Mus musculus: one gene and its partners. The protein of the gene in region 5 interacts with the protein of the main gene of each other region in a pairwise test. Links are inferred from orthologs where the notes say so. Each region holds a gene or a part of one and is shown on either strand. Other genes may lie near its edges.

Region 1 (3,929 bases), on a different chromosome or scaffold from region 5:
AAGTAAAAGTAGAGAATCCACTCCTGAAGTTGTCCTCTTACTTCCATAAAGTATTATGGAAGTGATCATGCCCCCCCTTGCTTCAATAAGCAAAATATGAAAAAGAAACAGTGGGCAGTCTCTGAGGAATGACACCCAAAGTTGTCCTTTGGCCTCCATATGCACTTGCACACGCAAGCATGAGCCCACACACATGCACCCACATCAACTGAACATGCATGTGTGCGTATGTGCATGCACACACACACACACACACACACACACACACACACACACGGTGCAAATTCAAAGAGACACTTCTATCTTTATAAGCGTCTGAGCACATGTCAGGGTTAGGTAAGTTTCCAGAGGAGCAGAAGTTTAAGAAAGCAGGAAGCAAGCTACGTTTTTGGAAATGTGTGAGATACTTCCTCACATTTCCAGGATCTAATCATCCTATCTGTTCTAACAAACATACATATTCACATTTGTGAGGAAATTCTCTTTTCTACACAGCCTGGTTCAAAGACTCTATCAGTGGGTTGCAGCTATACTATGTATTAGAATCCCCAGGGACCTTTAAAAAAAATTAGCTGACTCTGGGTGCTCCCCTAGAGACTCTCATTTAATTAGGCTGGGCTGGCATCAGGACTTGTAAGAGCTGCCAAGTTATTAAGTACAGCAAGAATTGAGAACTAACTACTATGGTAGATAGGAAAAGGAGATATGAAGTTGGGAGGGGCTCAATAAGTCACCTCTTTGCTTTGTTAACCTTTAGTACTAGTGTCCCATGAAGTGTGGCACATCCACAGGTGGATCCTGAGTATCACTTGATTTAGTAAGACTTCCGTGCACCACACACACACACACACACACACACACACACACACACATACATACATACATACATATGAAAGACTTCTGTGTGTATGTTTTACCTATATATTTGAATAACTATGAGGAACCAACCTATCAAATTGGAGATTAACTGTACATTACTCCTGAGGATTGAGCCTAACTTCTACCAAAGTTTAAGCTGTGCCTCTATGTCTCCAGATCCTCTGTAAATTTCAGGATAAGTAGGACGTAACTAAAGCCGTGGGAAGAACTCGTGAAAGAGGAAGCAAGCACGTGGAACTTGAGGAACACGGCAGGAAAGGAGCCCAGAATCTGGGAACTCTTTCTCTGCAACGCTTCCTGTTTTAAAAGCTGTGTCCCCTCCACAGTCAGGAGTCTGGTCCAACGCCATCTCCTCCCTGTTCCTCTCACATGGATGCCTGCCACCCACCTTAGTCATTCCTACGATGCTGAATTGGGCTCAAATCCGAACCCATGCCAGGGTCTTCTAGTGTCACACTCACTATCTGATCTCAGGTGCCACTGCCTGTGACTCATTCACTTGGGTCTCTTCTTTCAGATTCAAATCTGAGCTAAACCCAAGGTGGCTTGGCTACCTAAGCATAATGGGGCAGAAAACCAATGCCCACAAGGTTTTCAGCTCAGCAGCACAAAAGGGAACCCCGAGTGACCTAGATCCAGGTTATGCAAACTCGCAGGAGTGGATGAGGGTTGACATGAAAACCCTAAACAGAGCAAACAGAACCAGCCGACAGGAATGACACCGCTTTGCTGACATGTCTTTCTATTTGACATTCTCCCAGCATGACGCAACCCCAGTTGCCCAATTTCTATTTGCACATTTCCCCCTTGTCCACAAGGAGCTTCAAAAACTCCCAACTCCACAGCATTCCTTTCGCTAAGTTCAAGTGTCTAGTTCAACAAGGTGGCAGGGCAGGCTTGTGGCATCAACTTGACTTTGGGCGGAGCAAAGTGTTCTGAGGTGGTTTGGAATTCTCAGGTAAACTTAGAAAAGGACAGGAGGTGCAAAGGCAAGAGCTGAGGCTGACTGCCCCACTTCCACTTTGCCCCTCCATTTTCACACCCACTTGATTACACACTGCCTGCTGCACCTACAACCTCACCTTTCTCCCTGCCCTGTTCTTTCTCAATCCAAAGGGCACTGGCTATGGCAAGGGTGAGTCTGGTGAAAACCATACCCAGGCTTCAGCCTCCTCTTCCTTTCCCTGGCGCCTCCCGTCCAGGCTTTCCACATCCTAACAGCTTCCTGGCCACCCAGTCATCAGTTCACCTTTGCACCACCCAACAAAATGGCAGGTTGGCAACGGGAAAGGCCGAGAACGCTGGTTCCTCCTCTAGTCAAACGCAGCTCCTATCCAAAGCCCAGAGTCCCCGAGATCCAACAGGAGAGGGCTCCTGCCCAAGTCCCTAATCATGGGCCCCTAGCCTGATCGGTCTCTAGGGCACATTTCCATTCCAGGCCGGCGAGCAGGTGTCCGCGTAACAGGTGCCAGGCAAGAGGCCCGGGTCCTAAGTGGAGAGGACCCCGAGACTGACTCCAGTAAAAGGCCACTTCTAGAGGATGAAGGCTGAGGGAGGGGTATTCAGAGGGACCAACCCCGGGCTGGGGGCAAGGATGCTGCCTGTCCATGCTCCCGGGACTCGATCTTCACCTAAGCTGCCCCACTTACAATCTCCAGACAGACGAAAGCTCCGGAGTACGTCCTTAGGATGTCGGGGCCAGCGGGCAGGGTGACCCGGGGCGCCGGGAAGGACACGGCAGGGTTCGGGGGCGGCGGGACTGCTCCGCCGGCCGACATGCTGCCGCTGCTACGTCTCCGCGCACCGCCACCGCCGCCACCGCCTCCCGCGTCCCGCCGCCGCCTCCCGGGCTTGGCCGCCGCCGCCGCCGCCGCCGCCGATCCGATCCGTGGGGTTCAGGCGTGCTGCTCGCGGAAAGGGTGTGGCCACGGGCCCTCTGCCGACAGAGGCCCGCCCCGTCACGTGGGCACAGGTGAGCGCGCCTCCGCCCTAGCGACAGTCAGGGTCACCAGCACAGGTGTGGTGCGCCCCAGCCTCAGCGCCAGCTCTGCAGCCCTCCTGGATCTTCAGATCACTTGCTGCTCCTGCACTAACTGTCTGCTGGTTCCCACCTGCCCATCCCACTCAAGTCTCCCCGCTGGTCCTCACCCACTTTCCCCAGTTGGGTAGGAAGACAGAGGCTGTGACTCAGAAGGAAAACACCAAGTTGCCAGGCACACCTGGAAAATGGGATGCCTGTTTTAAAGGCGATTCTAGGGGGATTTTCAGGGTCATGTAGCACATTGGAGTCGTTGGCAGTGGGACCCTGGAGGAAGGCCTTGAGTCATTTCTGTTCTGGTCTCAGAAATCCGTACGAGGATGTCCACCAATGATGGGCAGAAGAGTTAGGTGTACAGGAAGCGATGTAGCTTATAGGATGGTAGCTATTTTTTCCAGTTTTGACGTCAATAATCATACACAAAATGTTAGCTTCATTACGTTTCCACACAGACACTTTTTATTCCATTTTCAGAAAGGTATTCTTTGCTACTGCTTTTAAAGACTTAACAATTATTAAAACAGAACAGGACACTACTACATATGAATCCCAAGCCCCAGTTTCCCCCCCTTGCATTCCCATTTTATTGGTTTTGCTGTCAATGTTCTGAAAGTGGAATGAACAAAGGGACATTTCTCAGAGATCATCTAAAGATAAGTTCCACAGATCAGCACATATGTAGACCACGTTGGTAAAACCTGACCCAGGCATGGGGATACACGCCCGGAATCATAGTACTTCACAGAGTGTGGATTGCCCTGAGTTTGAAGTCAGCATAGACTGCAAAGCTGGTAATAGAATAGCTTGGGATACCTAGAAAGAACCTGTCAAGCAACAAGAACAGCAATCAAGTATGTGGATATGTAAATGTGTGTCTACTATACACATATGCATGCGTGCACACATGTACACGGACACACAAACCTATTCGAGTATCGGACATTCTACAAATTGAGTCTTGTTCTGATCTATTAAGTTTAGCTCTTGAACTGTGAGTTGTTCCCTGCATGGG
Region 2 (4,122 bases), on a different chromosome or scaffold from region 5:
CAGAGATTGCCACCCATGCTTCTGAAATGTAAGCTCAGGAAGTCTTCATGCACATGTCCAAACATGATATCATGCATGGTATCAAACATGATGTCCGGCAGAGAATTTACATCTCAAATGCCAATCAGCCCAACTCTCTTTAATTTTCCACAGGGAAGTCCAGCAGACCTTAACTTATCTCCTGCCCGGATCAAAAACGGCCTTTCACTCACCCATTTCCCCATTTTCTTTCCTCCAAGTTATCTGATGCCAGAACAATCAAGTCACTATCTAGCTCAAAAAACCAGGAGATGCCTCCTTCTTTGCTCTGGTCTACAAGACTGGGCCAGATTCTAGCCTGATCTGCTGTTCTCTCAAATTAGAATTCATCCAGGGATACTCCACAAACTTTTTGAGTACCATGCTGCCGGGCCAGCAGGCCTCTAGTGACTGCCACTGCCTGTACCCCGATGCTTGGCCGGCTTTGTGTCAGAATCCTTTGAACTTCCGTTCCAATCCGAAAGCACACGCCTCCTCTGACCTCCCTACTTGAGTTCTTCAGCAGACTCTCAGATCCAGTCTTTCCACTGGGTGCCTGCCTGACTCAGGACAGAGTTCCTAAACACTGGCGGCCTGGATAAAAAGAATCATAAAATGCCGATAGTTTGGAGAGTACGAGGTCCCCAAGGTGTCCTTTGCCATAACTATCGGGAAACTTTAAACAAAAGCCTTAGATAACAGCCTGGAACCAGGCAGGCCGAGTCACAAGGTTGCCGGGCTCCAATGGATCTTCAAGAGCGGCAAAGCCAGGACAGATGCTTGTCATTTTTAGAGGCGAGCAAGACCTGCATAGGTCTTGAGACACCTCTGCGATTGTTTTCCTGAGAACAGGGGTGCTACCTCCTCAGCCTGCTTCATTGCTCACTGAGCTCAGGTCTTGGCGGGATCCGGGCAGGCCGTTCTAGCCCTAGTTTCCAGATTGTTTCCCCTAGTCATTGTTTCTCCTTTTCTTGGGCTCGCGCTCTCCTCCCGTTCTTTCCAGTGCCGGCCCCCACACCCCGCGACCTCCCACCGCCTCTCCGCACCCCCCCCCACCGCGCTTCTCAAGGAGGCGGGTCCAGCCCCGCGAGCGCTCCAATCCGAGCGCCCTCAACTGGCCCTGCCTCCGCGAGCCCCGCCCCACGCCACCGCCAGCCAATAGAAATTCGTGTTCGTACAGTCGGCCTGTCCAATCGCAGGTTGGCTGTGAGCCTCGCGCGCCCCGCCCCTGCTGCTCTCGGCCGCGGCTCCGCGGGCGGTCGCGCCGGGGCTTCGGCATTCTCCGAGCAGCGCCGAGCTGCGTCGGGCTCAGCCGGCTGCGTCCGGAGGTGCGGGCGACGGCGCCGCTGTGCTCCAGCGGTGCTAACCGAGGCAGAAGCCATCCGGCCGGGTCGGAAGGCGCCTGAGACTCGGGCAGGGCAGGAGCGGCGTAGGTCCCAGGACTGAGCGGGAGGCGGACCGGCACACGTTCCCGGCCCGGCAGAGCCTCCCGAAGCGGTCCCTGCAGAGCCGGGTCGGTCGCCGAGGTGGCTTCCGCTTCCCGGGGCCTCACCTGCGCAGGCCGCGGTGCGCCAGGTGCGGAGGCGTGTGCGTCGCCTGGGCACCTCCCACGGCAGCCAGCGGGGCGGAGGCGGGGCCGCCGCCCGGGTCTCCAGCGGTTCGCCCGGCCGTCTCCGTCAGTCTCACCGGTCCGCCGGGCCCCGCGGATCGGGATGCTGCTGCTCGCTTGCGAGCCGCCCTCCACGCCAGCCCCCGCTGCCGGGGCCGCACCTCGCTGTTTACATGTCAGTGGAGCCCGGGTTCCCCGAGGGTGAGAGCAGCCGGCTCACTGGACCTGGGGCTCCGAACTCAGATCCTCTCCTGCCCGCAGCCTCCGCCGCCATCTGGACTGGATCCAGCTCTGGTGTTTTTGAGGAGGGGGGTGTGGTGTCGGGAAAGGAATCCTGGGGTTTTCTAGTATCCCCTTCTTTTTTTCTTTTTTCTTTTCTTTTTCTTTTTGGCCCTGCGGGCTTCAGACTCAGGGAACTTGCTCATGGCTTTTTTGATGAAGAAGAAGAAATTTAAATTTCAAACCACTTTCACCTTGGAGGAGCTGACTGCGGTCCCCTTCGTGAACGGGGTCCTCTTTTGCAAGGTCCGGCTGCTGGATGGCGGGGATTTTGTCAGCTTGTCGTCCAGGTAGGCATTGAGGTTTTCGCGTTTGCAGGGGAGGGTGGGGAGTGCTGATGAGTGAGATCTAGCCACTTGGCAAATGTGGAAGACTCAGCTAGGGACGGATGGGCAAGGGGCCCGCCTGGGGAAAGATTTGCTCTAAGCAGGACTTAGGTCTGAGTGAGCTGGCAGAGCGCCTGGCATTTGTCTGCAGGTGACCAGCCAGAAACCTTTTAGGGCCCTGCGTGCACTCTTCAAGTCACCCGTTTTACAGATTTGTATGGAGAGAGCTGACTGAGATTTTCACTTTAAGGGATTAAGTAAGGGTGTCTCAGGCCACCTTGCCACCAAGCTGGCTCCTGTGGCTGTCATACGATTGAGAGATTGGGCCAGCCAGGGCTCTCTGGCTCTCTCCCCTTGGCTGGGAAAGCCCAGTTCCAGGCACTCCCTGGATTTGATTGCGGGAGGTGGCTGGATTTTGGGTTGCCCAGCCCCCTCTTGAGTGACTGCCCTCCACTGGCTAAAGCTGGACTGCTTTGCAATGCAAATGTCCTTGCCAGGAGACTGCCTTCCCCTGTGAAAAAAGCCATCGGGTTTGATTTTGTGTCCGTCATCGTCCTAGTAGGTCCAGCTTCCCAGTTTATTGCTGAATGAGGTCCCAGTCCACCTTTTGCAGGTTGAGCTCATGGCGGTCACACAGTCCTGACCTGCCTGCAGAGGTCCGTAGAGTCCAGCTAATGGGGAAAGGAAGTCAAGTTCAGGCTCTTTCTGGGTTCCTGTTCCCTCTTCGGCACACTGGACCTAATACAGGTTTCTCCATCAGCTTTGTAAAGGGAAGTTGCAGTAGATAGGCCCCTGGCCCAGCTCCCGAGATGCTTCCCCCTCCTAGCCTGTCCCTTGCTTCTTAGGTCTTGTGGGCCTAGTTAGCTGGACCTGCCCCACTATTCAGAGCGCTCAGAGGTGTGTTAGACGGATTGGGATAATGAGCCCCAGAAAGAGGAAGTAAATTGGTTGCCAGAGACTTTGCCGGAGGCATTTGTCAACCAGATTTGGCCAGTTGGAAGACCTGTTGGGTGAATTCTGTTGGAAGGAGAGAAGCTATGTGGTCTGATTCAGATTTTGGAATCTGTGGATAGAGGTGCCTGTTCTGTGCACTGGGCCTCCTGTTCTGCTCAGGGCCGCTTATCTGAGGAATTTGGACAAGGGCTGCCCTTTGTGGTGGGGGTGGCTGCAATCCTCTGCCTGTGAAGTCTGTAATCCCTGCAGTTACCCTTCCTAACGACCGGCTGGTCCGGCCATGGCGCAGTGTCAGAGGGTTGTGCTCAGTGATTGGACCTGGGGTCAGCCACTGAGAAATACCCAGTCTCCCTGATCTCACGTGCTGGCAATTACTGGTGCTCTGCTCACGGTCTCACTAGCACCTCTCAACACCACCCACGGAGCAGGAGTAGAGGAGGGGGAATCATTCTTACAGAGGTGAAAACAGAGGCTCAGAGAGAGTGACTTTAGCTGTTACACTGTGCCTCTGACCCTCAGTTTCCTCTTACTGTAAAATGGGGAAGTAATGTTCACCTTTCAGTTGTGAGGGGAATGGAGAGTGTACCATGCATGACCAGGGGAGTGGCTACAGTAGTTAAGATTACTGTATTGTAAGGGGTCCCGGCCCCAGCCTTCCCCAACCCCAGGCTACAGGATGGGGGGGACACCCCTTAATCAGCAGAGGTCCTTAAGTGATCTGGGATTGAGCACAGTACCAAGGAATTTGTACCAAGCCCAGGCTAAAGTTTCACATGTCTACTTAGACCCTTAGCCAGCCACTGTGACCCTACCTGTCAGCTTTTCTCCTGCCTCAACATGTCCCCACATCCTGGAAAGTCTGGAAAGTTCCAGGACTTACTTAGCACACATGCTCTGGATTTCACCTCTGTTTTCCCTTCTTCCGCCTGGCAAGAG
Region 3 (3,500 bases), on a different chromosome or scaffold from region 5:
GCTTACTCACTCCAGCTACCTGACATGGCTTCAGGAATATGTTTTCTTACCTTGCCATAGAGGCCCCGGTAGGGGCCAGAAAGGACAACCACAGCTCTTCCATGCATCAGCCCTTGAGGTTGGCCTTCCTTATCATTCTCTCGATCCCCATCTGGTCTTGGTGGGTGGTGAGAGCCTACGGAGGCCAAGTCCTGAGCCTCCATCCGGTTGGCACCTAGCCCTAAGCCCTTCGGCCTTATAGAGTTGACTCGGGGCTTCACTACCCTGCAGAGAAAAATAGGCTTGTAGGAGTACAAAAGGCAAGCCTTCCAATATCCAACCCACCTCAGCAATCCTTGTTTTAATTGTTAATTTACTTGTGTATGCTTGTACACCACAACACACATGTAAAAATCAGACGACTGCTTGGGGGTGGGAGGGGCTGTTCTCTTTCAGCCACGTGAGTTCTGAGTTCATCAGGATTACAGACAAGGGCCTTTACCTGCCCAGCCATCTCACCAGCTCACATCTGTATTTAATTACCCTTTCTGATACCATATAAGGACTCTGTGAGTTATAAAAATGCCAACTTTTCTTTTTTTGTGGTGTTAGGGGTCAAATCCAGGGCTTCAATGCATAAGCCATTCTACCATTGAGCCTCACTTTTAGTGCCCCCATAGCAATTTCATGTAGTGTAACTAAATTAACTTGTCCCATATACTCTTATTACTCCTATCTACAAGTGCCAAGTTAGGTTTGTATAAACAAATATACTAACTAATATATTTACAGAAGAAATCATAATATGTACACAGAGCAAGGGGAACAGTAAAGAATGTTCACTATCAATCACAGTCATATCTGGCTTACCAAATGACTTAAATTCTTTGGGATTTACAACTGCAAAGGGATTTTGCTTTCAGTTCTACAGATGGAAGACCTTTTACATGGTAGGTAAGCTACACACCAGCCCAACAAAAGGACTATAAGTCTATAAAATAAGAGAAAAGATGCTTAGTTTGGGGGCTGGAGAGATGGCTCAGTGGGTAAGAGCACTGACTGCTCTTCCAAAGGTCCTGAGTTCAAATCCCAGCAACCACATGGTGGCTCCCAACCATCTGTAATGAGATCTGATGCCCTCTTCTAGGGTGTTTGAAGACAGCTACAGTGTATTTACATATACTAAATAAATAAATGTAAAAAAATGTTTAGTTTCTGCTAGTTTATTAGGGACTAAATCCTACTCTTGCAACAAACCTGTGAAGTTAGTACCGCCTGCATTTTTCAGATGAGGAAATTGATCCACAAAGAGGACCTTAGTGTTCTTTTGGAATAACAACGCTGTGGAAACCACAGTTTGAAACAGTAGTGGGTAACTAGTGATAATGTCCTCCCTCAGCACCTAGATAGTTCTAGATTAAATGTAACTACAGGGGTCTTATTTATACCCATTGTCCCCCCCATTCCCCCCACCAAACTCACTGACTGAAGGTATTGCCGATGCCCTTGCCAGGTTTCCATCCCATGCCCCGCAACATGGCCAGCCCATAGGCCTCCACAGGGACTGCCTCATAGTCGGCTTCCTCCGGCACCTATTGGTCAGGCAGGAGAAGAGAGTCAGGTTTTGCTTGGGATGGGCCCTCTGCCATGCACTTGCTGCCTGCCACTCACGGGCTGACTTTCTCTAGCCCTGGCCCCTGAACAGATAGCTTGAAGGACAGTTTTCATTTCTTATCACTCCTCACTCTGCTCCTCCACCCCCGAGTCTTTCAGTAACAACAAAACGTTTTTTAGGATTATTTTATGCTATGTGTCTGAATGGTTTGCTTACATATATGTATGCCCATGATGTGTGTTGTGCTTGGTTTCAGTGGAGGTCAGAAGTGAGCATTTGATGCCCTGGAACTGGAGGTATGGAGCAAGTGTTCTTAACTCTGAGCTATTGCTCTACTGCCCCTTCTTCCCAGTCTGTCTGCTTGAGACAGGCTCTCACTATGCAGCTCTGGCTGTCCTGGAACTCTCTCTGTTGACCAGACCAGGCAGGCTTTAAACTCAGAGATCAGCCTGCCCCTGTCTCCTAAGTGCTGGGATGTAATACATGGACCACCATACCCAGCTTCAACAAATATCCACATGCTTTCAAAAGATTTACAGGACCTTTTATTTAGGTGCTGAGGATAAGGAACTAATAAAATGGAAAAAGTCTGTTGGGCCTTATGATCTAGTTGTCAAGACATACAACAAATCGAGTTCTGAAAACACGATACATCAAGTGGTGACACATTTAAAAATAAAGTGGCACTGTCCAGTAGGCCCTGCTATGTATGAGGTAAGGGAGGAATCTAGCTTAAACCCAAGAATTTGAAACCAGCTTGGGCAACATGCTGGGACTCCCCCCACCCCCAATCTCAAAACCAAACCCAAACTCAAAAAATACCTGGCTAAGGGAATTCAAAGGGAGATGGGAGCCACGACCTGACATTTAATCAGATAAATGATAAAAGATAGCAGAACAGATGAGGATGTGAGAAGACTGCTCCAAACAGACTCGGTTGTAAAAATAAAGGGCATACTTGGGAGGTGGGAGCAGCTTATCTCTGTGAGCTCAAGGCCAGCCTGAGCTACACAGTGAAGCCCTGTCTCAAAATACAAAACAAGCAAAAAAAAGAGCCTGCAGTAAGGTTAGACTTTGTATGTATGGTTAAGAACCATGGAAATCAACAGGAAAGGTGGAAGCAGAGATGGTAAGGAATTAATGAGGAGAACTGGAAACGTCATGGGACCAAGAGTCACATGGGAGCCCCAAGAAAGACCCATGAGAAACTTAGTCCAGATGCTGCCTCTGCCCAGGATGCTAGTAATGTGGATGACTAAGAAGCTATTGGCTTCTGGATCTACTGAAGTGGAGATGATGAGGTTGGGCTGATAGGCTACGTGTAGAATATGAAATAAAAAGGGAAGTCAAGGATTGGCTCCAAGGATTTTAAGCTGAGAGGACGGATGGCTAGAATTGTGGTCATCTGAGATGTAGATGGTATGGAGGCTTGGAGATGGGGAAATTAGAGAGATGAGGTCAAGGCCAGAACAGGATAGAATGAAGTATGGGCAAGAAGCACAGCTCATTCCAGGACAACCAGGGCTATACAGAGAAACCCTGTCTCGAAAAACCAAAAAAAAAAGTATAGCTCAATAACAGGCATTTTAGCACAGGGAAGGTCCTGAATTCCAATCAAAGCATGAAAAGTAAAAAGAAAAAAAAAGTTTTGTTTTCTTAAGGAAGGCAAAGTGGGACGTAGTTTGCACACCTTTAGTTCCAGCACTTGGGAGGCAGAGGCAGGCAGATCTCTGAGTTTGAGGCCAGCCTAATCTACATAGACATTCAGAACAGTCAGGAATACAGCAAGACCCTGTTTCCAAAAAAGTAGGGCAGACCAAAGCCTGATTATAGTTGTAAGCATGAAGTTCAAGGTCATTTTTATCAACAGAGTGAATTCAAGGCCAGCTTAGACAACATGAGACTG
Region 4 (3,960 bases), on a different chromosome or scaffold from region 5:
ACCACATGGTGGCTCACAACCATCCATAACGAGATCTGACTCCCCCTTCTGGAGTGTCTGAAGACAGCTACAATGTACTTCCATATAATAAATAAATAAATCTTTAAAAAAAAAAAAAAAAACAGTTGGCAGATAGAAAGTTACAGTTTTGAACCAGGCTCGGTGGCCTGAATTCCAGCCCTGGGGAAGCTAGAAGATCAGAAATTCAAGCCCTGGCCAGGTGTGGTGGGGTACACCTTGAATCCTAGCAGTCAGGAGGATGAGACAGGAAGACCTCAGTATGCTGCAGGTCCGTGGAGACTTCAAAAAAGGAGGGTTGGATGGGGAAGAATTAAAAGAGTTGTAATTTTATGGGCTGGGATTGTAGCTCAGTGGTAGATTGATTGGTGCACAGAAACAAAGCCCAGGGTGAGCCCTGAAACCACCAAAACAATGCAACCCCCACCCCCTGCCATCTCATGGAAAAGGATTTCTGGAGCAACTGGGTTGTTTTCATTCCTGTTCAGGATGCTAATTCCATTAGATAAATTTGCAGTCTTTTCAGAATTCTCTAGGAACTTCACTTTCCCTTAGCAATATTTAGGTTCTTTCTTTCTTTCTTTCTTTCTTTCTTTCTTTCTTTCTTTCTTTCTTTCTTTCTTTCTTTCTTTCTTTCTTTCTTTCTTCCTTCCTTCCTTCCTTCCTTCCTTCCCTTTTTTTTTTTTTTTTCTTTTTTCTAAGATAGAGTCTCACTATGTAGACTAGGCTGACCAGGAGCTCAGAGAGATCCACCTGCCTCTGCATCTCTAATGCTGGGATTAAAGGTGTGTGCTGCCACGCCCAGCAATAATTACAGTTTTAAATATCCCAGATCTACAGTTGCCAGGAGCAGGGGGTAGCAGCTCACACCTCTAAATCGCAGTATTCCGGAGGTTGAGACAGTACAATATACAAAGCGCATTTCTGGCCAGGCAAAGAAATGATAAACTCTGCCTCAAAAACAAAACAAAACAAAACAAACAAAAAAAAATTCGAGGAAACAAGCCTAATAATTAAACCACACAAAAGGGGATTTTATTAAAATCAGCCACAAAAGGAGATTTTAGCATCACAATTTTGTTGAGGGTGGGACCAGAAGGGGAGGGGAACGGAAGAGGGCCTCAAGACAACAGGAAGTAGGAGGAGATTTTGAAAAGCCGGCTGAGGTCAGAGGTCTTTTGGAAGCTGGGAGAACTTTCTTTCGGAGGATTCATCTATTCTCAAGATGGAGACTGCTGGAGACAAGAAGGTGAGAACTGTTTTTACAATTTGGCTTTCCAAATGAGGGCCCCTCATTTTTGAGTATAGCCAGCCATTGTTTGGAGAAGAGAAGAATGAGCGTTACAATTTGTTACAACCTTAATTGTTTTTTTAAAAAAAATTATTATTTAAAGGCAGGTGTGTGGCTTGGCGGGCCCGCTCGAAGTGGCCTTGCGCGAGACCCTGGGGCCCGGGTGTAGATGTGTTAGGAGAGGAGGGTGTGTTTTGGAAGGAATGCTTTGTTAGGAAGGAATTTAGAATCCCGTAGCTGGTCCCGGGATAAAACAGGGTATAAACTGAGGCTTTGGGTAGCCTCGGAAGGAGTCCCCAGTTAACCTGAGAGGACCCGAGGGCTTAACCCAAAAGTGCCTGCTACAGGGCTTCCAGGCCCCTTAATTTATCCATAGGCCCTCAGAATCTATGAATTTTGACATGGCAGACCTGCTGGTTCCTAACTGTAGTAGCCAGGATAGGATGCTGAGCACTTTCCTGGACTCCTCCCCAAGAAACCGCCAGCCATTTTCATCTTTCTTTATTGTAAGAATTTTGTTAAGTCCTAAAGTGAATCCTTTATAAAGAGGTTGTGCAAAAGTAAATCTTAGTCCTTGGGAAGCCGGTCCCTATTGTGATGGGAGAGAACTGAGGTGTCAAGTAACAGGAAATGCTAAATTGTCACTTCCACAATTGCGGGGGTGGAGGAGGGGGGGGGTGGAAAAGACCTAGGTTTTGGAGCTAAGTGACCTGGTGGTTTTACTTATTTATTTAGTGAGTTATTGTTTTGTTTCTCTGTAGTCCTGGGTACCCGGGACTCGCTCTGTAAACCAGGTTGGTTTGCCTCCCGGGTGCCACCCTCTCTTTTCTTTCTGAAACAAGGTTTCTCTGTAGCCCTGGCTGTCCTGTAACTCACTCTTGTAGACCAGGCTAGCCAGGAACTGAAGAGATTCGCCTTCCTCTGCCTCCCGAGTGCTGGGATAAAGGCATGTGCCATGACCACCTGGCTTTAATAAGCTTTTAACTTTTGGCCCTCCATGTTGAAAATACAGTAGTGGTTCTGAAGTTATATAAAGATTAAATGAGGCAAGGAGTGTGTTTAGTCGTGTATATGCTGGAAGAGGCTTAATATTTGTTAGGTTTTTTTTTTTTTTTTTTGGTGTGTGTGTGTGTGTGTGTTTCTTTCTGTGCTTAGGGATTTTTTTGTTGTCGTTGTTGTTGTTCCCTTAATTAAACTGAATATTTATTATCCATCCTCAGCAATAAAAGGGAGAGGGACCCCATTCTTATGGAGTTTAAAATCAGATGGAATTAATTGACACATGGAAATGAGGTAACATGTGGTAGATTTTTGAGATTCCAGCAAAATAACCCTTGAATTGAGACTCGGAGGACAGTGAGGTGTAAGAACTGAAGGAGGAGTGGGTGGGTCCTAACACATCACCAGGCTGTTTTAACAATTGGAAACTGTCCCTAGGCCATGTCTGAGAGGCTCTGAAGGGAAATCAAGCCACGGAAGTGACAGTGCCTTTGGTACATCACTCTGGCTACAAATTTCTTTGGGTGAGCCTAGAACCAAGGACTAGGGGAAACAGTTTTTGGGTGTGAGACTACAGAGTAAGGTTTTCTTTGTCCAAGAGTGGACCACTATCCGGTTGCTTTCATTATCTTCTGTTGCTCTGTTCATACCTATTTCATCCTTTAGTTTTATCCTGTAGCCTAAGCTTGGGTAGAGGAGGCACCAAGGATGTGACAGATCCGTCACATCCTTGGTGCCTCCTCTGCATTCACTGCACAGGTGCTAATACAGCTTCAGTTTGGATTTCTTCCTTCCTTAAGACAGTCCCATAGGGGGCGGGCCTGTGGACCAAATCCCAGCACTTACCCTGAGGCAGGCGGGCCTCTGAGTTCAAGGCCAGCCTGGTCTACAAATCTAATTCCAGGACTGCCAGGGAAGCTACTTAGAGAAAAACCCTAGCTCTAAAAAACAAAGACGAAGATAGTCTTACAAGTCTGGGCTGGCCTGGCCTTGGTCCTAGCCTAGGGTTACAGTTGTATGTCACCAAGCCTGTTTCTTTTTCTATTCTTTTTTTTTTTAAGATTTTTTTTTCATTTACATTTCAAATGCTACCCCAAAAGTCCCCTATACCCTGCCCCCACCCTGCTCCCCACTTCCTGGCCCTGGCAATCCCCTGAACTGGGGCATATGATCTTCGCAAGACCAAGGGCCTCTCCTCCCAATGATGGCTGACTAGGCCATCCTCTGCTACATATGCAGCTAGAGACACGAGCTCGGGTACTGGCTAGTTCATATTGTTGTTCCTCCTATAGGGTTGCAGTTCCCTTTAGCTCCTTGGGTACTTTCTCTAGCTCCTTCATTAGGGGCCCTGTGTTCCATCCAATAAATGATTATGAACATCCACTTCTGTATTTGCCAGACACTGGCATAGCCTCACAAAAGACAGATATATCAGGGTCCTGTCAGCAAAATCTTTCTGACATATGCAATAGTGTCTGAGTTTGGTGGTTGTATATAGGATGGATCCCCAGGTGGGGCAGTCTCTGGATGGTCCTTCCTTTGGTCTCAGCTCCAAACTTTGTAACTTCTTCCATGGGTATTTTGTTCCCCATTCTAAGGAGCGAAGCATCCACACTTTGGTCTTCATTCTTCTTGAGTTTCATGTGTTTTGC
Region 5 (4,128 bases):
ATCTAAAAAAAAAAAAACAATGTTTAATTGGGACTGGCTTACAGGTTCAGAGATTCAGTTCATTATCATCCAGGCGGGAACATAGCAATATCCAGGCAGACATGGTGAAGGTGGAGCTGAGAGTTCTACATCTTCATCTGAGGGCTGCTAGCAGAATACTGGCTTCCAGGCAGCTAGGATGAGGGTCTTAAAGCTCACACCCACAGTGACACACCTACTCCAGCAGGGGCACAACTTCTAATAGTGCCACTCCCTGGTCTGAGCATATACAAGCCATCACAGATATCATTCAATTAGAGTCCTCTTTCTGTCTTAATGATGAGAGGAAGCTCACTGCAGGGCTAATGCGCAAAAAAGCAATGATGTCCTATAGCTGGTACATGACAGGAATGAACCAATGGAACTCGAAATAGGAGATAGCTACAGTCTGAGCGAACTATTTTGAAAATATGTTTCTAGTGGGGCTCATTGGTGCACACCTGTGATTTAGCACTTGGGACGTGGAGGAGCTTGGACAGGAGTTCAAGGTCATCCTTGGTTATACAGTAAGTTTGAGGCTTAGCCTGGGTTATGCAATATCTGCTCTGAAATAAAGTTATGAAGAAGGAAATAAAGGACTCTCTTTTCTAGTTGTATCCTCAGCGATTTATTAGAAGGGAGACACTGAAGGAAGGACCCCAGAGAGAAGGCTGGTGGCGTGTTAGCATTTGGGCCTCTGCCGGGATTAAAGGCGTACATGCATCACCACTGGCATACCTCATATTAATTTTTAAGTTATGGGTATATATGTGACCCGGTGTACTTGAGAGCAGTTGAAGGAGGCCAGGAAAGGGCTGTGACCCGGAGCTGGAGTTACAGACAGCTAGCTATGAGCAAGCAGCCTGATGTGGATGCGAGGAACTGAACTCCCGATGTCAGCCAGGGCAGCAAGCACTTTTACCTGGAGAACCAACCGTTCCTCTAGCCCCTAAGATATTCCATTTTACCTCGCTTTGTCTTTATTACACTCTCGCTGGCAAATTCCGCTCCGCTTTCTCCACGCACAAATAAAATATTAATTAATTAAAACTGACTTTTGGCTTTATATCTACTCCTGGACTCTAGAGGGAGCTGCATCATGCGTACACGCGCACGTACACAGATTTCTGGCCTCTCTAGGCGCCCCCTCATCTCGTTGGTGTGGGAGGGTTTCCGCCGTTCCTCCCCCGGCAATGCTCTTTCTGTCCTCCAGGGGGCGCGCACGCGCAGAGAGGCGGAGCGCGCGCAGATGCCGTTGTAGGGTGGGGTGAGGCGATATGGGGGCGTCACCGGAAGTGTGCGGTTGCCATGTAATATCCCGGCCGCGCGTGCGCGCTAGCCGGCCGAGGTGGCTTCGGGGCGGGGGCGCAGAGCTGGCAAGCTGATTTGGCGGTGGCGGCGCCGACCTGCGCGCGGAGGAAAGAAGTCGGTTCGGCGGCGCCGGCGGAAACCGGAGTTCGAGCGGGAGGCCTGACGGCGGCAGGCGGCATGTCGGTGGCGGGGCTGAAGAAGCAGTTCTACAAGGCGAGCCAGGTGAGGCGAGGCCAGGCGATCTGGTCTCGGGCCTGCCTTTGGGGACCGCAGACGAGCCGAGCTGGCTTCCCTTGGGCTAGCGGGGAAGGGGAGACCGGGTCCCCGTGCTTTGAAGAGGGACACCGGGTGTGCGCGTCTAGGCGGCTTTCAGAAAGCTCTGGAGGGCCGGCGAAAGGGCTTCATTGAGAGGGGCTTGCCGCCAGGCTTTACAACGTAAGTTCGATTCCTGGGATCGCAGCATGGAAGGCAAGCCCCCCCCCCCCCAAAGTCTCCAGGCTATGCTTCCGAGACTCTCACCACATAGCCTCAGGCCACAGAAAATGTTTGTCTAGGTTGATATCCAAAAAAACCAAGTCCACACAGGGCTTAAAAAATAATCAGTGTCCCATTCTTCTTTTCCCTCTCCGGTGTCTGTAAGACGGATTGAAAAAAAAAAAACCTAAAAAACCAAAAACAAACATTCTCGCTCACTGGGTGTTATACATCATTAATCCCTGCACACTTGAGGCAGTCAGGTAAGCAGATCTCTGAGTTTGAGGCCAGCCAGGGTTACGTAACATAAGGAGACCCTGTCTCAAAAATGAAAGAAAAATCTCTTGGTAGACACTGTGGCAAGTTGAAAAGAGACAGTGAAAAGTAATTTTCCAGGCTTCTGCAGTTTACAAAATGTGTCAGGTTTGTGTCCCTATTTCTAAAACATATGTATGCTTCTTTGAAAGATACGTTTTTGTTGGCTGTACCATACTATAGATTCCTATAGGTACTTGGTGGTTTGGGTTTAGTGTTTAATCGATCCGATCATGACTCTGAACTGAAATTCTCCTTTCTGGTTGTGTTGACATTCAGGAGTTCTGTAGGGTGGGCATCCTGGCCTCCGTTGTATAAACATTGAGAACCCTACCCCAGGCAGGCAGGCGCTCCTTTCAGACATCCTATAGTGTAATGTCCCTCTGGAACTTTTGGGGGGTTTTTTGAGGCCAAGTTTTGCTCGTAGTCCAGGCTGGCCCAGAATTTTCCATCTTCCTGCCTCTCAGGCGCTGGGATGACAGGATACCTTTGTGTGTTGAAGGTTTTATATTTGCCTTGAACTCCTGGGCTCAAGTGAGCCTGTTCCCTCAGCTCTGTCAGGTTTCTGCTTGAGAAAACCCTTGTTGTCTCATCTCTGTCTCAGTCAGGCCAGAGTGGCCTCATAGTCATTATCCTCCCGCCTCTGCCTCCCGGTGCTGAGTTACAGATGTTTGTCACCAAACCTCAGTGGCCAGAAGTTCGTGACTGAGTTTTCTCCTGTCTGTTTTGAGTTTCTTTTCTTCTGCCTTTTCCTCCAGGTTGCTAGATCGATTGTGCTCGCGAGTGCGCTCTCTCTTTCTCTCTCGTTTGATGGATGTTTGCTGGGGTTGGAGCCCAGGACCTCAACCACACTGGCAACAGCTCTACCCTGAGCCATGACCTCAGCTTGACATGCATTTTACATGGGACACTGCTGGAAAGCCTGGCAGGCCTGTAACCCCAGGCCCTCTGGCCGCTGAGGCAGGAGGATCAAAAGCCAAGTGAGTTCCAAGTGAAGCCTGTGGAGCCAGCTTGGCTGCTATGTCTGATACCCTAGAGGTCACCAGGGTTGATGCTAGTGTGGCTGGAGGAGGCTGTCTTCTGCCTGTGCATCCAATCCAGTGCTTGTCTCACTCAGCTCAGAGGCCAGACCCCACCAGTGTTGGAGCAGCTGGCTCCCCTTCTCGAACTCCTGAATAGCTTTCGGAATGCAGAGGATAGGATAGGACCCGGGCTCTGGGCTTCAAAGTAAGAACTTTCATATCTCAAAATGACAACAGATCTGGGTGTGTAGCTAGTTGGTAGAGTACTTGCCTACCACACAGGAAGCCCTGGTTTTGTTACAAGTTGAGGGCCAGCCTGGTATACAGTGTTAGTTCCAAGGGTATGTAGTGAAACCCCATTCAAACAAGTAGTTCAGAGCCTGCAACCCATAGTCATGCAAGCCCTGGATCTTTGCAGGGAGGTCTGTGAACACGTAGTTTGTTGCCCGGTTTCTGTTCCAAGAAGCCCCAGATGTGCTAATCCTGTGGCTGTGCAGTACAGCCCGAGAATCCTGGGTGTGGAGCTGGCTCGAGTAGATTCCACAGAGAGATGAGCAACAGTGTAAGGAATTGCTTGGGCCATGCCTGTGAGAAAGGTTCTCCCCACAGTCTGGAGAGGCCCAGCCAGAGGGAGCAGCCAGCTGGTGCTGTCACCCAAGGGCTGAAAAGAAGGAAGGGCCTAGCAGTTGCCTAAGGATAAAGACATCTGAGCTCTATCTGTGGACCTCATAGGGAGGCTAGCAATGGAGTTGATGTGGTAGGACCTATGCAGTAGGCAAGAGACCTCCAGTGCCTGAACTCCTTAGGCTGTGATGCCAGCCTGGGTTCTGTGGCTGTCCTTCTGTTTGAATGCCTGTGGCCCCACATCCCTCAGATGGAGTTCCCGGAGGTCCCTCCCCTGCTGATTCCCAGCAGGTCCTGTCAGGGACTCATAGGCAGCCACTAGACTCTTTCCCACTTGGAGGGCCACCCATCCCACCTGCCTACA
Region 6 (4,058 bases), on a different chromosome or scaffold from region 5:
AAGAAAACTGCACAAGTGGAGATACCCCAGCAGTGCAGAAGCCCTACCCTTATCAAGTACAGATAAGCTTAGAGAAGACACAGAAGAAAATACCCCATCCAGAAAGGAGACAAGGTTGACACCCACATTGGTCCAGTAGGGAGTTTGTCTTCCATTTATTCTCCACTTGCCAGGTGCTTTGTCTCCTTAATAGTCCCTTTCCTAGTACCTCAGTAAAGAGGTGTGCAAGCTCTTTTCTTTCCTTTGGCTTTGCTTTGGGTAGCTTGTGTAACATGGGCTTCAAGCATCAATGTTATCTGGAATGTTTTATTTTATGGTCTGGTGATTAAAGCCTGGCCCTTGCACATGCTAGGCAAATTCACTGTTATTGAGCTATACCTCCAGTCCCCCTTTTACTCTATATTTTGAGATGGAGTCTCAATTGTCCAGGCTAGTTTTTAACACATCCTAGCCTAAGCAGGCTTTCAGCTTTCCATACTGACTGCCCTTTTTCTCTCACAAAATTGTTATTATAGACCCTGACCACCAGGGACAGTTTAATTACACTTGAAGAAACTACAGTGGCTCCTGGTGGCCTCAGAGAATACAAAAGAAACCCAATTAACAAGTGATGGCTTTTGACTATGGGCACCAAATTGGACTGCTGATTCCCTCTGAGTATAGCAGCAATTGGCTTACAGGATACTTCAAAGGACACCAGCCTAGATTCCCAGCTCTGCCTCCAGTGAGCTGTGACTTTGGGAGGTCACCTCAAGTCTTTGGACCATATTTCCTAATCCATAAAATTAATCTGGGGATCTTTGTAGCTCTTGGATACTGAGATAAAATCTACGTTGAAGTTCCTGAGACAAGTACAGGAAATAAAAAGGAGGAAGTGAATCCGCCTGGGTTTTTCCTTCTTTCACTCTACAGGACAATCACTGCTAACGTTGATCTGCACGGTGATGGTTTTGTCTCATACTGAGTGTAATCACTCGAGGTTCAACACAAAGTGCAGCTCAACTAACTTGTTTTTCTTCTCCTGTGGCATTTTTTTTTTTGAAAAAGACAAATAACAAGCAACAAGTCCATACCTGTTGCTCACTCTAAAAATTTGAAAGAGTACAAAATTCAGTTAGGTTCCCAGGATACCTGTAGATCTGGTCTGACTTTCACACTTTCCATTTTTCTACATAATTGTGTTTTTAATTAGTATAGAGCCTAATACAGCTATCTTCATAGAATTATCGTGGTATGTATAGTACATATATCCCTAAAGTTAAGAATTTAGATTAAGTTCTATCTATTCTTTAAACAGCTAGCTCTGTGGACAGGCTTCGGATTGTTCGATTTTTTTTTTCTCATTAATTTACTTGATGATTTTGAAAATAAAATAAATTGCAAGTGGTGAGAGCAGCTGGAAGTTCTGTAAATGCTCTCGAGATTGAAGTATTTCACAGATATAACTAGACAAGTCCATTTGTGCCCAATCTTCACCTAAGTATTTCTTCCACTTATTTATTAAATTAAAAATTATAAATACATTGTTTCGTTCCACAAACAAGAGAAGCTTGTCAGGGAACTGAGCAAGATGTAGCTGGTTATCCCTGCTTCTCTAGGGCCATAGTGAAGAGAAACACTATTGAGAAAATCTGCAAACAGTGAGTGACTCCACCTAGGGCCCATGAACCCCCCAGGGCAGGAGTGGCTGCGGATGGTTTACTTTTGTTGAGGAAAGTTCTTGCTAGGCTGATTTTAGATTGAGCCTTGACCCAGAACCATAGGGAGGGGACGAGCCCGCTGCTCTCTGTACCACGTGAGGGCGCCCGCGGGAGGGTGTCCCCGCGCGGGGAGCTCTCTAATAGAGTTCTGCGTGGGCTGAAACAGGTTTCAGGACTCTGTCTGGAAGGTCACCTCCGGGCCAGGAGAGACCACATGGCACTGCCCAGTGATTGGACCTCCGCTGATTTGTGGGTACTGTTGCAGGCACCCAGCACCTGCTTCGTGGCCCCGACCCTCGCAGGTTGCTTCCGCAGCTGCACCTGCCCCGGCCAGTGTAAGCACTCACCACGCGTGCATGCACACCGCCCGGGCACCATGACTTCCCTGAAAGACTCCAAGTTGCCTCCGATTCTCCTCCCACTGGAGACTCTTAGTATAATGATCACAAGCCCTCTATTCTTAGGGCCGCCACTCGCCCGGCCCCGGCTGCCGATACTGGACACCCTACACGAGACATCGGACACCCACAGCTGTGGCGGTCGGTTCCTCTGGGCACCCGAGCTCGCCCTGCGCGCGGTGGAGGAGGGACCAGAGGGACAGGTGAACAGCCTGACCGCGGGAACCAGGGTCTCCTCCTGTCCCTGTCCTCTGTGCTTTACCCTTCGCTCTAGAGACTCACCTGCTGGTTCCCACTCCTCGCTCACCCTTCTGCCTGGCTCCATGCTCCAGCGTTTTACCCGACCCGGTCACCTACCTGCTCAGTACCCGGAGCAAGGTGACCCAAGCACCTGCCACCTCCAGATTGCCTACAGCAACTGTCCGGGAAGAGAAGGGAGGACAAGCAGAGACCCAGCCTCCCAGAGACCCAGCCGCGCGGGCTGTCTGGACAAACACTCGGGACCAGAAGGACACTCAGCGTCCAGATCGCAGCCCTGGCCCGCCCCGCCGCGCCCACATGCTGGGGTGACTGACTGGGCGCTCCCTCAAGGCCCCACCCGGGTGCTGGAGGCGCTCCAGGGCCAGTAGGCAAGCTTGGCTGCCTTGGTCCAGTGACAGCAAGGCCACTAGTCCTTGGTTAATCTAGAGCGCTGTCTACAGTCTGGGGTAGTTTGCCTTACCACCTCAGTGGGGGTCTGTGGGACTTATTAATTACAATAGTCCGGCCCCTTCCACATTTGACTTGTAGGTGGAGCCTGCGGAGGCAGGCAAGGCCCATTTGGGAACCTGGGTCCTGCAGGCCAAGTTGGCTGTAGTTCTGCCCCTGCATTCTACAGCTTACTTTTTCCTTCTCTTTTGTTGACATTAAGTAAATTATCAAACTCTGAAGCATTTGTGACTCCAGGTGTGGCTTTACCGAGCATGATCAAGGAAGAGAAAGACTGGAATGCTGCAGGCTGAAGGCACTAGGGACAGGGGCAGCCAGGGAGAGAAACATGAAAGGGGGAAAAAGGTGGAAGTCCCCTGTGACTAACAGATCAGGGCCCGGATGGCACAGAGCACCAATGAAGCCTAAGCATACGTGGGAGGGAGGAAAGCTGAGCCGAGTGGAAAGGTGGACCAGCCTTTTCCACGGGTGAGGAACGTTAGGGATGTGGGGAGAAAACAGGGCTGAGAGGTGCGGAGGGATGACACAGGACCTCAGACTGTGGAGGTTAGAGAGAAGTCTTATAAACAAGAAACACGGTGTGACTTTATACACCCTGTCCAATCGATTTAGGAGCCTGGCATGCTGGACCCAAACATTGTTTATCTTAGGCTTTCACAACCGCAGAAAACCCTTGAGTTGGAAAACCTTACAGCCAGGAGTTACACCCTACACTCTCAGGAAACACGACTCAGCCATTTGGGAATTGTGCTTGAGATCCACTCAGGCAAGGACTCCCGGCCCGAAGCTTACTCTCCACTGTACTGAACTGGGTGGCCAGATGAGGTGCCTTAGAATGCTCTGTCCTCCTCTGCCTACTGGTGGTATCTGCTCAGCACGTGTCCTCACACTCTCTGGAAACTAAGGAGCTGTACAAGCTGGCTATCAGCCAGCTCAGGGGCCCATGGGACACTGATGCTATCACTAGGTACCCTCCTCCAGACTCATTCTGTCTCCAAGTCCTGACAAGCCTTTCTTGATGACAGCTCTCCCCCTTACATTTAGCCTTACAGTTTGCCATTCACGATATCAGCAGTGCCTGGCTGATTCAATTCTTGTGAGGCTCAAGTGAGATAATGCATGCAAAGTGCTCAGAGCATGGCTGGCCCTAATATGTTTGGATACTTACTGCATGCCAGAGACTATTGAATAGATAGAGGCTCTTGCACAAAGTGTTCAGAACCATTTCTGGCACGCAATATTCAAATGCATT
Region 7 (3,500 bases), on a different chromosome or scaffold from region 5:
GCAGGCCCTGGCACTGACCACACCCTCCTGGGTGAGGCTAGTCCTGGGGCCTAGGACCCAGGGAGCAAAGCCAGGCACTTGTGTCTGCAATGAACACACTTAGCTTATGGTTCTGGAATGTCCTTTCTAGAAGGACTGTTCACTCCATGCTGGCAGACTGACTCAAGTCCACTCAAACCCTACAAACAAGTGACCCCAAGTGTCTGCCACAGCCTCCTATGATGTGTCACTCCTAAATGGCCAGGGGCACTGCCGAGAAGTCAACAGTCCACAAACAAACACAAGCAAGGAGCTATCCCTGCAAGGCTGCCAGCCAGACCAGCACCTTGACAACAGGGGCTCCCAGAAAGCCTCCAATGCTGCCTTATGTTAGGGAGAGACCCCCTTGCAGCAGCAGGTGTCCACTGAGCCCGGGCTCTGTTGGTAGGGTTCTGCCTGGTATAAACCCGAGTCAGAAGTCAGTGGTGGTGCACGCCTTTAATCCCAGCGCTTTGGAGGAAGAGGCAGGAGGATCTCGGGTTTGAGGCCAGCCTGGTCTACATAGTTCCAGGATAGCCAGGGCTAGGTACAAAGAAAGACCCTGTCTCAAACAGAAACTTTTAGTCAGGACACAGAGTATGGCAGGAAGGTTAAAGCCAGAGGCTCTGGGACCCAGGACCTGGAGGACAGGACGAGCACAGCTCTCTGTGGGTGCTCCTGAGCCGGGCACGCCCGCCTAGTGTAAGCCGGGTGACCACTCAGTGACCCTAGATGGGGTGCGAGGAGCAAAGCCAGAAACCTAAGTCAGCCGTTGAGCTTACCAAGATACCGGAGCACGGCCTCCAGGGGCTTCCGTACTACCTGCTTCAGCACCAGTGGGCTCTGGGAGGCTTCGGGCAGCCGTGCTGTGCCTGTACAAGGACAGGACAAGGTACGGTGAAGAACCATGTTCCCCAAGAACCTGTACCCCAACCTGGACACTCTGCCTGAGTGTGGCTCCTGCTAGGCCCAAGAAAGAGAACAGGGGAAGACTCACATTCAGCCTTGATTGCTGCGCTGTTGATGGGCATGTAGGGGTGGCGGGCAGCATGCCATGGGCGTAGGATCTCACGGCACAAGCGCCGGGCAATGCGTGTCAACTTGGTAGTATGCAGGTAGAAGGCCTGCCTTGTCTTCATGGCAAACTTGGGGCTCCCACTGCTCCGAGCTGGGATGCCATGGGGACTCTGTGGAATGGGGCACGGTGCCCCAATATAGCACTGTGACTGGAAGCCAAGGACCCGAGGCTGACATGCAGCAGGTGGCAGATCAGTATGGTGTGTCCCACTTACCATGTTATTGCGGTTTGGTCCCGGCCTCTCTCCATCTAACCGGGTTGGCATTTTCAAGCCACCATATTTCTTCCAATATGTCCAACAAGATGCGCAGAGGCGACACTGCATGTTAGGGGGACCCCAAGAATACCACTGGTAAGACTGTGTGGCTACGGACAACAAAGTTGGAAATAGACGGATTCTTAAGCAGGACCAACGGTGCAGAGAGCATCCCACAGTGTCCCCACCGCCACCACAGCCACCCCAACTCCTGGCTCAGGACCAAAGGAGGCCAACCTCATACTCCTGAGGAACTCTTCCAAACTACCCCATCCCACCCCCCGCCGCCACCACCACCACCACTGCAGCCCCACTATGGTGAGTCATTCCAGGTTTGGGCGCAGGAGCCTTCAGGGGCCACACAGTAGCATCCATTCCCGTGGCCCCTGCTGCCCAGGGTGGGTGCCAGCCGGGACAGCACTTACTGTAACAGCTCTCGCAGGCCCGACCGGCCCCGGGGCTCTGGCCTGGTGTCCCTGTGCCATTCACTACAGTGGCCTTGACACTGCTGGCGCTGATCTGGTTTGGGTTGGGCTTGTTACTGATGGAGGAGAGGGATCAGTCACAGGTGCCCTGGGGTGTCTGGATCCCCACAGACATCCCTGTTCCTCTGTCCACTGTGTTTCAGCTGCCATAGCCCAAAATGCTTAGCACTAAACCCAGATTAACTCCTGAGCCAAAAAAGCTTAAATCCTGATCCCTCCTCCCCAGTGGAGCAAGCTCATGAGAAGGGTGGCAGAGGTTCTTCAGCTCAACTCTGGAGGCTGCCAAACCTGGAGTCCTACACCCACCGCCCACCCTGACCCGCCCCAGGAACATGAAATAGGACTTACTAGTTGGGAATATAAACCTGCTTTAACTTGCTCTCAGCTTCAGCTGCTTTCAAGCGTTTCTTTAAACAAAACAGAGGGTGAGGGAGGTCACCAGGCTGGCCAGGGAAGCTGGGAGGCCACAGGGAGGGGTCACCATTTGTTTCTCCATCACTGGCATCCTTAGGGAAAACTTGCATGGCCCTCCCTGGCCAACCTAGGCCCAGGAAGTGGGGGTACCAGGCTGGCTAAGGGTGAGGAATGTCCCTTCCTCCCAGTCTGTGAGTCCTCTAGTGACCCCAGCTCCTTCCTCTTTGCTCTAGGGCTTAAGGGGAGGCCGCTGGGAAAGTATGAACAAATGTAATGTGGCTATGTGGGGATTGGAGAGGACGGATAGCGTGGTGCGAGAGTGGATGGTCTACCTGCTGGACGTATCTGTCGGTGGTCTTCCACATGTAGTAATACTCAATGATGCTGGTGAGCGACTTCCATGGGAGCTGCGGGGACAAGGCAACACGATGGGTGGCAGAACAGGGCTGCTGCCCACACAGGCGAAGGAGAAGAGTGGCAGAGGCAGTGCTGGGTATCACATCAGGTCTCCCACTAACGGCACCCCGCCCCCAGTGTTCATTAAACACAGCAAGACCATAGCAGGTATCTGGTTGACCTTGCTCTTCCCTGAAAATCCAAGCTAAAACAATTACCATTATGCCTGGAAGGAGATGACCATAACTTGGTTCTGTTCTTACCAAGAATCAGAGATGTATGGACAAGATCGGCTCAAGTCCCTCAACCAGGACTTCTCAGCTTCCAGAACCAGAGAGGGGTGAATTTGTTGGAATCACCCATTCTCAGGGGCTTGAATGAGAGGCCTCCCCACGGCCCACATTCTTAACTCCTTGGCTGGAACGCCAAACCTCCCGCTTCTCTGGGTTACTGAGCTCCAGGGCGACTTTTCCATGTTCTTTGTCCTTCCCGTTATGTGTTTCTTTCCAGTGTCAAGCACCTAAGGTTTCTCTCTTTCAGCACACAGCTACAAGCCCCTAACCCTGTGCCTCCTTCCAGTGCTCCCTGGGCCACCAGCTACATCACTCAAGTTTCGTCTTCTCCCCTGAGTTACTGTTTGGTCGGTCTGTTGGCAGTGGCAGGGATCAGAACCAGGGTGTCCTACATACAAGGGATGCGTTCTCCCACTGAGCTACACACCAAGGCTGGCAACTTCAGTCTTTAAAGGCTGTGTGCTGGTTAAATGTCACCTGCAAACATTGTCTCTTTAGATCTTTGAGCTTTATCTACGAACAATTTCCTGTGAGCAGACTCATGAAGTGTTGAGTGGCAT

The links.
Region 1: the proteins of Sh3gl1 (region 5) and Mal2 interact in binary tests that used the Homo sapiens proteins (3 or more experiments, as listed by UniProt). The two-hybrid records come from large-scale screens. The link is inferred for Mus musculus from reciprocal best matches to the Homo sapiens genes SH3GL1 and MAL2.
Region 2: the proteins of Sh3gl1 (region 5) and Fam102a interact in binary tests that used the Homo sapiens proteins (3 or more experiments, as listed by UniProt). The two-hybrid records come from large-scale screens. The link is inferred for Mus musculus from reciprocal best matches to the Homo sapiens genes SH3GL1 and EEIG1.
Region 3: the proteins of Sh3gl1 (region 5) and Gpkow interact in binary tests that used the Homo sapiens proteins (3 or more experiments, as listed by UniProt). The two-hybrid records come from large-scale screens. The link is inferred for Mus musculus from reciprocal best matches to the Homo sapiens genes SH3GL1 and GPKOW.
Region 4: the proteins of Sh3gl1 (region 5) and Dppa4 interact in binary tests that used the Homo sapiens proteins (3 or more experiments, as listed by UniProt). The link is inferred for Mus musculus from reciprocal best matches to the Homo sapiens genes SH3GL1 and DPPA4.
Region 6: the proteins of Sh3gl1 (region 5) and Sh2d4a interact in binary tests that used the Homo sapiens proteins (3 or more experiments, as listed by UniProt). The two-hybrid records come from large-scale screens. The link is inferred for Mus musculus from reciprocal best matches to the Homo sapiens genes SH3GL1 and SH2D4A.
Region 7: the proteins of Sh3gl1 (region 5) and Mta1 interact in binary tests that used the Homo sapiens proteins (3 or more experiments, as listed by UniProt). The two-hybrid records come from large-scale screens. The link is inferred for Mus musculus from reciprocal best matches to the Homo sapiens genes SH3GL1 and MTA1.

Annotation. Positions count from the first base shown.
Region 1 is NC_000081.6:54,570,237-54,574,165, reverse strand, and holds the start of Mal2 (protein MAL2), read right to left. Parts: upstream 2,801-3,929; 5' UTR 2,658-2,800; coding exon 2,529-2,657; intron 1-2,528. UniProt on the Homo sapiens protein: Member of the machinery of polarized transport. Required for the indirect transcytotic route at the step of the egress of the transcytosing cargo from perinuclear endosomes in order for it to travel to the apical surface via a raft-dependent pathway.
Region 2 is NC_000068.7:32,534,037-32,538,158, forward strand, and holds the start of Fam102a (protein FAM102A), read left to right. Parts: upstream 1-1,322; 5' UTR 1,323-2,050; coding exon 2,051-2,196; intron 2,197-4,122. UniProt on the Homo sapiens protein: Key component of TNFSF11/RANKL- and TNF-induced osteoclastogenesis pathways, thereby mediates bone resorption in pathological bone loss conditions.
Region 3 is NC_000086.7:7,700,134-7,703,633, reverse strand, and holds part of Gpkow (G-patch domain and KOW motifs-containing protein), read right to left. Parts: intron 1,572-3,500; coding exon 1,462-1,571; intron 265-1,461; coding exon 51-264; intron 1-50. UniProt on the Homo sapiens protein: RNA-binding protein involved in pre-mRNA splicing. As a component of the minor spliceosome, involved in the splicing of U12-type introns in pre-mRNAs.
Region 4 is NC_000082.6:48,282,575-48,286,534, forward strand, and holds the start of Dppa4 (developmental pluripotency-associated protein 4), read left to right. Parts: upstream 1-1,160; 5' UTR 1,161-1,243; coding exon 1,244-1,267; intron 1,268-3,960. UniProt on the Homo sapiens protein: May be involved in the maintenance of active epigenetic status of target genes. May inhibit differentiation of embryonic cells into a primitive ectoderm lineage.
Region 5 is NC_000083.6:56,033,838-56,037,965, reverse strand, and holds the start of Sh3gl1 (endophilin-A2), read left to right. Parts: upstream 1-1,328; 5' UTR 1,329-1,506; coding exon 1,507-1,551; intron 1,552-2,876; exon of another isoform or gene 2,877-3,098; intron 3,099-4,128. UniProt on the Homo sapiens protein: Implicated in endocytosis. May recruit other proteins to membranes with high curvature.
Region 6 is NC_000074.6:68,275,270-68,279,327, reverse strand, and holds the start of Sh2d4a (SH2 domain-containing protein 4A), read right to left. Parts: upstream 2,801-4,058; 5' UTR 2,456-2,800; intron 2,443-2,455; exon of another isoform or gene 2,381-2,442; intron 1-2,380. UniProt on the Homo sapiens protein: Inhibits estrogen-induced cell proliferation by competing with PLCG for binding to ESR1, blocking the effect of estrogen on PLCG and repressing estrogen-induced proliferation. May play a role in T-cell development and function.
Region 7 is NC_000078.6:113,129,278-113,132,777, reverse strand, and holds part of Mta1 (metastasis-associated protein MTA1), read right to left. Parts: intron 2,659-3,500; coding exon 2,584-2,658; intron 2,245-2,583; coding exon 2,186-2,244; intron 1,894-2,185; coding exon 1,778-1,893; intron 1,463-1,777; coding exon 1,311-1,462; intron 1,206-1,310; coding exon 1,016-1,205; intron 891-1,015; coding exon 801-890; intron 1-800. UniProt on the Homo sapiens protein: Transcriptional coregulator which can act as both a transcriptional corepressor and coactivator. Acts as a component of the histone deacetylase NuRD complex which participates in the remodeling of chromatin.